2 linked regions of the Nothobranchius furzeri genome follow. The protein of the gene in region 1 purifies or fractionates together with the protein of each later gene. This does not show direct contact. Links are inferred from orthologs where the notes say so. Each region holds a gene or a part of one and is shown in the gene's direction. Other genes may lie near its edges.

What was found. The genes of interacting proteins can lie anywhere in the genome.
Region 2: the proteins of dcaf13 (region 1) and fbl purify together in Homo sapiens (affinity purification with western blotting; 3 studies listed by BioGRID, with this or other methods). This does not show direct contact. The link is inferred for Nothobranchius furzeri from reciprocal best matches to the Homo sapiens genes DCAF13 and FBL.

What each region holds. Positions count from the first base shown.
Region 1 is NC_091745.1:51,876,040-51,880,618, reverse strand, and holds the start of dcaf13 (DDB1- and CUL4-associated factor 13), read left to right. Parts: upstream 1-1,444; 5' UTR 1,445-1,573; coding exon 1,574-1,643; intron 1,644-1,910; coding exon 1,911-2,110; intron 2,111-2,205; coding exon 2,206-2,313; intron 2,314-4,579. Other genes in the region: slc25a32b (solute carrier family 25 member 32b), read right to left, coding at 1-75, 180-330, 501-699. UniProt on the Homo sapiens protein: Part of the small subunit (SSU) processome, first precursor of the small eukaryotic ribosomal subunit.
Region 2 is NC_091745.1:58,450,102-58,455,011, forward strand, and holds the start of fbl (rRNA 2'-O-methyltransferase fibrillarin), read left to right. Parts: upstream 1-1,892; 5' UTR 1,893-2,012; coding exon 2,013-2,022; intron 2,023-2,810; coding exon 2,811-2,921; intron 2,922-3,290; coding exon 3,291-3,434; intron 3,435-4,910.

The sequences.
Region 1 (4,579 bases):
GCCGAGACAAGGTGCTCTCCTGCACTTAGTTCAGTCTGACGCCCTTCTTTTGTATACCCTTTGATTGCATTGTAACTGCAAAAGAACACAGAATAGACAGTGAGACATCCCATAGTGAAACACTTCCAATACAAACTTTCTCATGAATGCTGCAGATATACAGTCAGAAGTTTACATACAAGAAGAAATAGAGACCCCAGGAAGCACCAGCACCCCAAACATTAGGTGTCACTCCCTGGTAGAGACCCCTCAGTCCCTCCTGGTGCCACACACTCTTCATACAGTGAAACATGCCGCTGTACTTAGGTCTCAGCTCCAGGCCATCACTCACTGCGTTAGACAGACGTTCAAATTATGTTATGGCAAAAGTAATGAACTAAGCTCTGTGCAGGTGTTTTAAAATAAACCTGCCAGAGCAGATAAAGCCACATGTGGACAAGGGCTGTGCACGAATAATAAGAGAAAAGAAACTAGCTTTACTGTGTATTCTCTAGACATACCTGCAAACCTGATCTTGACGAGGTCTAGTGGGTGAAGCACCAGCGTCGACACAACTCCACCGCTGAGTCCTGCCACCAGGTTTTCTATTCTCACATGGCTGAAGACTTTCTGGAGGCTTCCGGTTACAGTGACAGCGGACATGGACTTGTTGGACAGCTCTGTCTCGGCAGCGGTACCGTGTTTAGGAGCAGAACTCATGCTCGCAAAAGCTAAACAAAAAAAAAAAAAGAACGTAGCTAGCTCAGCTCAGTTTACAGCGCGCGCAGCTCGTATCACCCAAAAACTCCAGCTTGCTCCAAAACATCGAGACAACTGACTGAAGCCACCGCAGCATTTAACTACAACACGCATATTAATGCATGCCACAAACTGAAACAGGTTTCTAACAAGAGGCGAAATTCCCTAAAGGTACTTCTTCAACATGACAGCCCTGCTTCATCGACCTTGCGGAGTACGTAAGCGTCAATGTTGCTGTTGTTGAAACAAGGTTTCCGAATATTTTTCAAAATAAAATACAAACTTTTTTGAACCAGGACATATTTTTTTCTTTCATAAATTTTGACACAATTTGAAGCGTTTAGAAGCATTAAAATTGCTTTTAGTTTTATCTTCACTGATGTGATTATTGCTTTTATTTTTTATTTTAAGACAAGGCTGGTTTGTCTTAATGATTTTATAATTTATTATTTACCATGTGACCACTCTTTCATTTTTTGTGTAGAGCACACCATTTAGATTATTTAAGTTGTTTATCTATTTAGACAAAAAGGATATGAACAGACAAGCAACGAAATTATTCAAAAAATCCAGTTTCATATGCACACTGCTTAAGCTTATTGTAAACTTAAAAATAAAAAGTAAGCCAAAATGAAGTCTTCCGGTTCTTTGTTTATATGAAATCTTGAACTTGATTAAAATTTCTTGATGATGCAACGAGGAGGACCAGCCATCCCACAATGCAACGCGGAACTCCTTCTACGCTAAACTATCTACACATGGTTGCATGTCCAAGACAGTAGTCTTAACGAAATTAAACATTTTCTAAAGTTCTTATGTTGTTTTTCGCTTCCAAATGAAAGTCAAAGTTCTCTCAAGAAACCCGGACGACTATGTCCGGGAGACTAAACTAGACATTCAGCGTGGTAAGTGTTGGATATTTATCTGCGAGATGCTAACGTAGCTAGCCACAGTCTGTTTACGTCCATGTAGCAACAACATTAAGATAGCACAACTGTTTGTTCTGGGGAATTACTATAGTCGGTTTAAATTGAACATTTAATTAATTCTCTAATATATTAGTTCTCACTTATACTGCAAGCTCTGTTTGTTTTTGTGATTGTAGAAAGAAGATTTTGTTATTTACATCGTGTTTTTGACTTAAAGACACTTTTTTAAAATTTATTTGTCAGTCCCTAGAAACTATGACCCATCCCTTCATCCGTTCGAGGTGAGCAGAGAGTACACACGGGCTCTGAATGCCACTAAGTTGGAGCGGGTGTTTGCAAAGCCTTTCCTGGCTTCACTGGATGGTCACAGAGATGGTGTCAATTGTTTGGCAAAACATACCCAGAGCCTCTCCACCCTGCTGTCAGGCTCTTGTGATGGCGAGGTGAATAATCAGCCGATCACCAGAACTTCATAACCTCCCTTAATCTGAAATCCTTTCAGTAAATGTTGTCTTTCCTTTGATTTCACTTTTTTTAGCTGAAAGTCTGGGATCTCACCAAGCGTGAATGTGTCCGCACCCTGCAGGCACATGAAGGTTTTATTCGTGGCGTGGTTGTCAGATACTGTGGAACCTCCTTCTTTACGGTAAAATGTTTATCAACATCTGGAAGCTTAGGGAGCCCAAGTCTCCTCCCTTTTCGGTCAGCTCATGAGTCCCTTGAAGAACGGTAAAATGAATGCAAGTGAACAGGGCTAGAGGAGCTACTTTCTAATCTGCTTTTCCTTACGCCCTGGATCGCACATTTAAATGATAATGTGCCCGCACTTGTATAGCTCCTGTCAGAGTAAGGATTCCAAAGCGCTTTACACTACAGTGTATCATTCATCCATTCACACACACATTCACACACTGATGGCGATGAGCTACAATGTAGCCACAGCTGCCCTGGGGCGCACTGACGGAGGCGAGGCTGCCGAGAACAGGCACCACCGATCCCTCAAACCACCACCAGCAGGCAAGGTGGGTTAAATGTCTTGCCCAAAGACACAACAGCAGAATTGTCTGTCCGGAGCCGGGATCGAACCTTCCGATTACTATACAACCCCTCAACCTGTTGAGCTACTGCTGCCCATTTACTGCACTGCAATTTAAATGAAAAGTAATGATTGTGTGTTTTGACCACGCCAGTCATGATTTATCAGCTTGTAAAAATATGTAATTACTGTCACTACAAATCAGAAGGTATGTTGCATATCACCACAGAATCTCCTCCCCCCAGCCTAGCTGCTACCTACCACATGGCCAAATTTATAATAATAATAATGCATTTTATTTAAAAGCACCTTTCAAGGAACACAAAAACACTTTACAGCAATAAAACCAACAACATTTATGGTGGTTCTTCCCTCCTGAAGGAAGGATTTGAAGTTCACTGAACTTACAGCCATTTTTCCTCTGCTCTTCTCCATTTCTGATTCAATGTCGCAGTTTGGTGATGCACATTCGTAGTCCTGGACATATTTTCACACAAAATCTAAAATAACTTTTTTTCCTACTCGAAAAAAAAAGAGCTTTCTTAATATCAGAATGTGTCATTAAAATTCACGGATCATATGTGAAATCCATGGCACACAATTAGAAAATAACTTATAGCCCCACTGACTTGCATACATTTGTTTGTTCTTACAGGGATCCACAGTCTGGAAGTAGATGGGCGTGACTTAGGCTGCCTATTCTCTTTTTCTATGACCCCTCACCTGTTTCAGTCCTAATCTGATTATTAGATCAGTTGGTCAAGAGGATGTTTTTTGTAATCTGATGTCGGAGATGGGGTTACATGTCATGGTTTGATTATGATTTAGTGAGTTTTGGATGCAATTCTAAAAAACTTATTGAAGTGTTTAAAGTAAGGTATTTTAGTAAGATGCAGTAAATTAAATTTAATACAATTTTTATGAATGAAACAAAACAAATCTTTCAACTGAATCCAGTACTGAAATCACCACTTTCATTCAAAAATGCTTCAGAAGTTCATTTAATTTAGCCATCTGTCAGAACAAATGCATTTATTCAAATTTAAGTGGAGCCAAAAACTTCTGACTTTAACAATAGTGGTGTCAGTGAGAGTGTAATAAATTCCAGACAAATAAAACCAGCTAGAAAATAGTGAATGTTGGAATGGGAATTGAATGTTCTTCAAGGAAAGTCAAAGTCTGAAAATCACTTTCAGTCTCAAAGAAAGACGTCATACACTAATGTAATGCATAGTAATTATTAGCTTTATTAAATTACAGTTTGGTTCCAAACACAAGCAAGGCTGGACTTTGTTTAAATGGCTATAATTCAGTAGCCTGGCCAGTGCTTCCAAAGGGCCTGGTAACAAACCCATTAAAAACCCACACCCTGAGAATTCTGACCCAGCCAATTAGCACTGAGCAGCGTTTGTCACACACCGCAACGCTGCTCAGTGCTAAACAATAAACAGTAAAGACGGCGTCTGAGGCGGAGTTCGCTGCGGCTCTTTCCTCTGTTTTAAAGGACATGAACTTGTCTCTAAAACCACAAAAAGAAGCGCTAAAAGCCTTTCTTCTAAGGCAGGGTGATATGGCCTAAAATAAGTATCACAATATATTGAGGATTTCACCTCAATAACGGTAAATGGGTATAACTACAGGAATGTGCAGAAACAAAAGTTGTCCACTAGATGGGGCTGTCACGTGTATTAAGTCTAGTCACATTTTTACGTGACTCAAGGTGGTACAGCTTCTTAGAGGCACATGAACGTTGCCAACCTACCATACCATAGTTAATTTATACAGCACATGTAAAACGCAGCATAGGAGCTGTCCAAAGTGCCGCACTGACTAGACCAAAACACGACCAATCAAAGCAACAAAATCAGAAGATAAA
Region 2 (4,910 bases), about 6.6 Mb from region 1:
CGTGAAACCTGGTGTAGATGTTTCTTTAAGCTAACGTGTTGTTTCAAACTGCAGCGTGTTTGTGCTCTGAACAGTAGTGGAGTTTGGACCAATGACCTCATAAAACACACATTTTTCGTGACGAGGCTGAAGTTAGCTTCCGATTCCAGATTCCAATTTGGGAAACGGCTAAAGGGCGATTACACCCAATTTTTCTCTACTCTGCTCTAGCTGAAAAACTACAACAGCCATACTGTTCAAACCTGTTCTTGAATATTCTACAATAATAGCAGATGGCATACAACCTTGTTTGGGATTTGTAAAACCTTTCCCTGATTTGTGAAACTTCAACAAAGCCTGATTTATGCGTTTTTTCAGCATCTGGTCAACAATGGAACAGCTGTAGCTCAAAAACTACAACAGCCACACTGTCCAAACCTGTTCTAGATTATTCTACTATAACAGTGTGGCTGTTGTAGTTTTTCAGCTAGAGCAGATGGTCAGAGTAGAGAAAAAAGAAGCTGAAATCGGAAGCTATCTTCAGACTCGTTTTTTCGTGCTTCTACGATGGAAATATTCCCTCTGCACTGAACACCGACTCCTGACCATCGACATCTATACTCTTGACAAGTTAAAGGTACAAACGTTGGGCCACCGCTCCGTGACATTTCTACGCATTTAGAGCAACAAGTAGGCTTGTGTCCAGCCTGTCCGATAACTCTTACCCTGTTGTAGTGGACTTCAGGCTGGCTGTTGGGCGCTGGGATGGCGCTGCTATAGTGACAGACTGACAGTCGGTTGAGGGGAAGAAAAGCTCGATAAAAAACTGCACGAAGCATGATGTTTTCATGCGCAGCTCTACGAGCAACAACCAGGAACTGGGCTTTACGCGTGCTTGTGTCTTTTTCAGGTCGTCAGCGCTGACGCTCTGCTGCCCCCTAAAGGCCAAGCCACTACACTGACTGACTGACTGACTGACTGAATGAATGAATGAATTAATTAAGTAATTAATTAAGTAATTAATTAAGTAATTAAAAATTACTTAGACTATGCAGTGTTTGTACAATTTTGAGCCTTAGGTCAGAGTAGCTAGTGTTATCCAAATGGAAATGGACCAAAGCCTAAACTGAGTCTTGCCCATCACAAGTTGCTACACAGCATCTGAGTTGTGTATGGTAAAATCTGACGAACGACCGAAAAAAAGGAACTTTGAACACTTCGAGCAAAAGGGGCAGGTGCTCACGACGCCTATCAAGAAGGATGTTGTGGTCCACAGATGGAGCATCACCAGAGCAGATGTTTTGCCTGAATCCTGTATTGAGACCAAACTCATTTAAATCCTTAATCAGTGCCATCTCAGTGCTGCAGTGTTGTCTAAAGTCGAACTGGAAACCAACCAGCAAGTTTTCTGTCTCCAAAAAGTTGTTCAGCTGGATCATAACTGTTTTTCAGTAATTTCCCCAAAGAGGAGATTATTGGTCTGTAGTTATTCAACACTAAATGATCTAATTTTCTTCTAGAAGAGACTTAACAGCAGTTTTCAAGGATTTATAAAAATACCTGACAGCAATTAACACTTTTCAGTACATCAGCTTTTAAGCAACTAAAACATTTTTAAGTTACCGGTAGTTGGCAGGTCAAGTAATAGGTCAAGTGCCTCGGTGCTGCAGATTCCAGATTTTCATATATTTTTCATCAGTATGTTTTTGAACCTAAACCAGTCTCTTGAACCTAAACCAGTCTCATAGTGGGTCAATGTTTCACCAGTTTGCCCACCAATGGCCGTACAAGATCACTAGAAACACTTATTCTTTTGTTGTTTTTGTCAAAGCGGTAAGGTGCCGGTCACCCTCCAGACCGCTAGGTGGAGTTAGTGCACGTACAGTTTTAGGCGGACTGCCATAAAACCGCAAAGTAGAAAACACGTTTTGAGCATGTGCACGTACGCACGCTGCTTGATCTGAACGCTGCATTCGGGAGAAAAACATAAGAATCTTAATTTTTGATCGGGTTAAGGCTGTTTTCTGGGCAACATGAGACCAGGTAGAGTACCCGTGCTTGTTACAATGACGAGTTGGACTTGTTCAACTCATGGTTTTTATTTGTCTTTACGGGCCTGGTTTGGATCGTGTGTGTGTGTGTGTCTGGCTACAGCGCCCTGCATGTCCGGGAACATTATCATGGAACGTTACCGTTCTCAGTGTTCAAGCATTAAGAAACGAATGGCTAGGATCTTAAGTGAGCTCAAGAGACACAACTGTGTTGTTAGATCAAACAATTAGACCGTATATTATCATTGTTAGTTGTAAACGGCTAAGGCACGTGCTACGGACTCACCGAAGTACGCGAGCAAAACACAGGAAAGTAAAACTTTAGTGCATCAACTCAGAAAACACGAACTGTACAACTCGTGTGTGTGGCTAGCGCGTCACCAACAGAGGAAGCTGATATTTATCAGCATGAAGAACATTAAATCCTAAACCCTTGAATGGTGAAGCCACTTTCCTCATCTAGAGGTTCCTTTGCAGCAGAGTTGAGTTTTTGCTGTTACAAAGGTTAAAGTAAAGTTCAGATTTATGGATTTTTAAGTTTAGAAAACATAAATCAATAGTTTAAAAACCTCTCTGGGTAAAATATTTTAATTGGTCTTTTTGAGATAAACTTTTAAAGATTTATTTCCAGAAAAAAACAAGTTGTCCTCAGAGGGAGATGATTGCTTTACTGTCAGTGACAAGTAAACAAGTACTATTGGCCCATATAAAAGTACAATGACATCATTTAGAGACCACTGTCTCCTGTTTAAATGTGTCTGATGTGTCCTTCTGTTTAAGGTTTTCGTGGGGACAGAGGAGGAAGAGGAGGTGGGGGACGAGGACGAGGGGGTTTTGGTGATCGTGGAGGACGTGGGGGGTTTGGTGATCGTGGAGGACGTGGAGGAAGAGGTGAGGATGCTGTCGAAGGCACAAATGTGTTAATTTTAACACCTGTGAGCTTGTTTAAACAGAAGCTAGCTCCTCTTCACCTCAGTAGGCGGGCTCTGATTGGTTCTCTCACCTAGTCTGAGTGGTCTTATGTCTGTTACTCGCATCTTTCCCGTCTTTTGAATGGGTTTTTGTCCTCGCCATCTTTAATATAATCTTTTATTTGTTCAAAAATGTCTGATCAATTTAGTCATTTATCCAAGATTTTTTGCTTCATTTAGTCCACAAAAATGTTTTGACAAAATAATTCACCTCAGTGATAGTTGATGTTAAACGTATTTCCTACTCATAAATGCAGCACAGATTCCAATGAGACATTTTGTTTTTCAGGTGGGGGGTTTCGGTCCCCTGATGGTGGAGGATTTAGAGGGAGAGGAGGCGGCCGAGGCACTCCTAGAGGAAGAGGAGGTAGGGGTGGTGGCAGGGGCTTTGGAGGAGGGAAGAAGGTCTTGATTGAGCCACACAGACACGAAGGTTTGTATTTCTGCTTTGTGATCGAACAATCCAATATTTATCTTGCACGTTAGTTAGCGATTGCTGGTCTAGAATGACCTAGTCCAGATGTGAAAACTAAGGATTGTAGTTTTAAAATTAGAGCAGGGTAAATGAGGCTCAGGGTGTCCTAAAAATCAGTTTTCTGAATCAGGAGCTAGAAATGGAAACCAGCTTCAGCTTTGTTCAGTGCTGTAGGATCATAGCTATACATTTACTTATCTGTTTTGCCCGTTGAGAATTGGCTGTATGTTTAGTCTAGTGGTGGAGTGTGTGCAGGAATGAGTAGCAGCAGCCACGGCTCCTCTTTAAGCTATGGGTAATGGTTTTAGATGTGAATTCCAGAAGTACTTGACTTCCATTCTTACCTAGAAAGTTGTAAAACCCATCGTGTGGCCAAATCCTTGCCTGCAGAGAAGACTGAGCCGGCTTCTCCATGTAGAACCATAAGGGGTGTTTCTTGATGTCAAGGCGCCTGGCCTCGAAAGGCGATGTCTGGCTAGGGCAGACGCCTTTGCTTACGAGGACACAGTCCTTCTTTGGTCAAAGAAAATGGTTAAATAGAACAGACTTGCATCATGTGACTGCAGGTGAAATGTCTTTGGAGGCGGCTTATGGTAGAGAAGTGGACATTCACTTCATGGGAAACAGCTCTAGTAGACATTCCTGCAGTCAGCATTCCAATTGCTCGCTCCCTCAAGGGTTGTGACATCGGTGGCGTTGTTTTGTTTGATCAAACTGCACATGGCAGGGTGTCCTTTTATTGTGGGCAGTAGGGATGCACCGATAGATCGGCATTTGATCGTAATCGGCCGATAGCGCCCCTATCGGTTTTGATCGGAATTTTCAAAATAGATCAAAGCAGACCGATCAGCCGTAGGGATATCACGGTAACCAGTGTAGCATTAAACCCCGGTTAAAAAAAAGTTGACAATAATAACCGTCTTGTTTTTTAAAAAACTATATTATCTTGGTGGGTTTACCGTAGCTGCGGTGTAGGCGCGGTGACCCTTACCAGCCACCGTATCATCGGCTGAAGTTGCCGGCGGCACATGCGCGCTTTGCTGTTTACAACCAAAACTTTCTTGAAGCTAAAGCTGAAATAATGGCCAAAGGAGGAGACGGCAGCGCTCAGGAGGACATTTATTATCCCTCAAAGAACGCAAAGTCGGAAGTACGGGCATATTTTAGATATTTGAAGAATGCCGAGGGAGTTTATAGAAGACGGATGGCTATCCTGTTTGCAGCACGTGCAGAAAAAGTGTCTGTGAAAGGCAGCAACGCCTCGGAGAGAGACCAACTCTTATCTGCCCCTGGGAGCCCCGTAATGCATAGCATTATTTCAACATGGCGGTGTCCGCGACACGGTTTATATGCAGGTAGCGGCACTGCGGCTGCTTTATATAGCGACTCGTTGCATTCTCCCTCAACCCAAATCCTCGGATCACGCATTTTAGC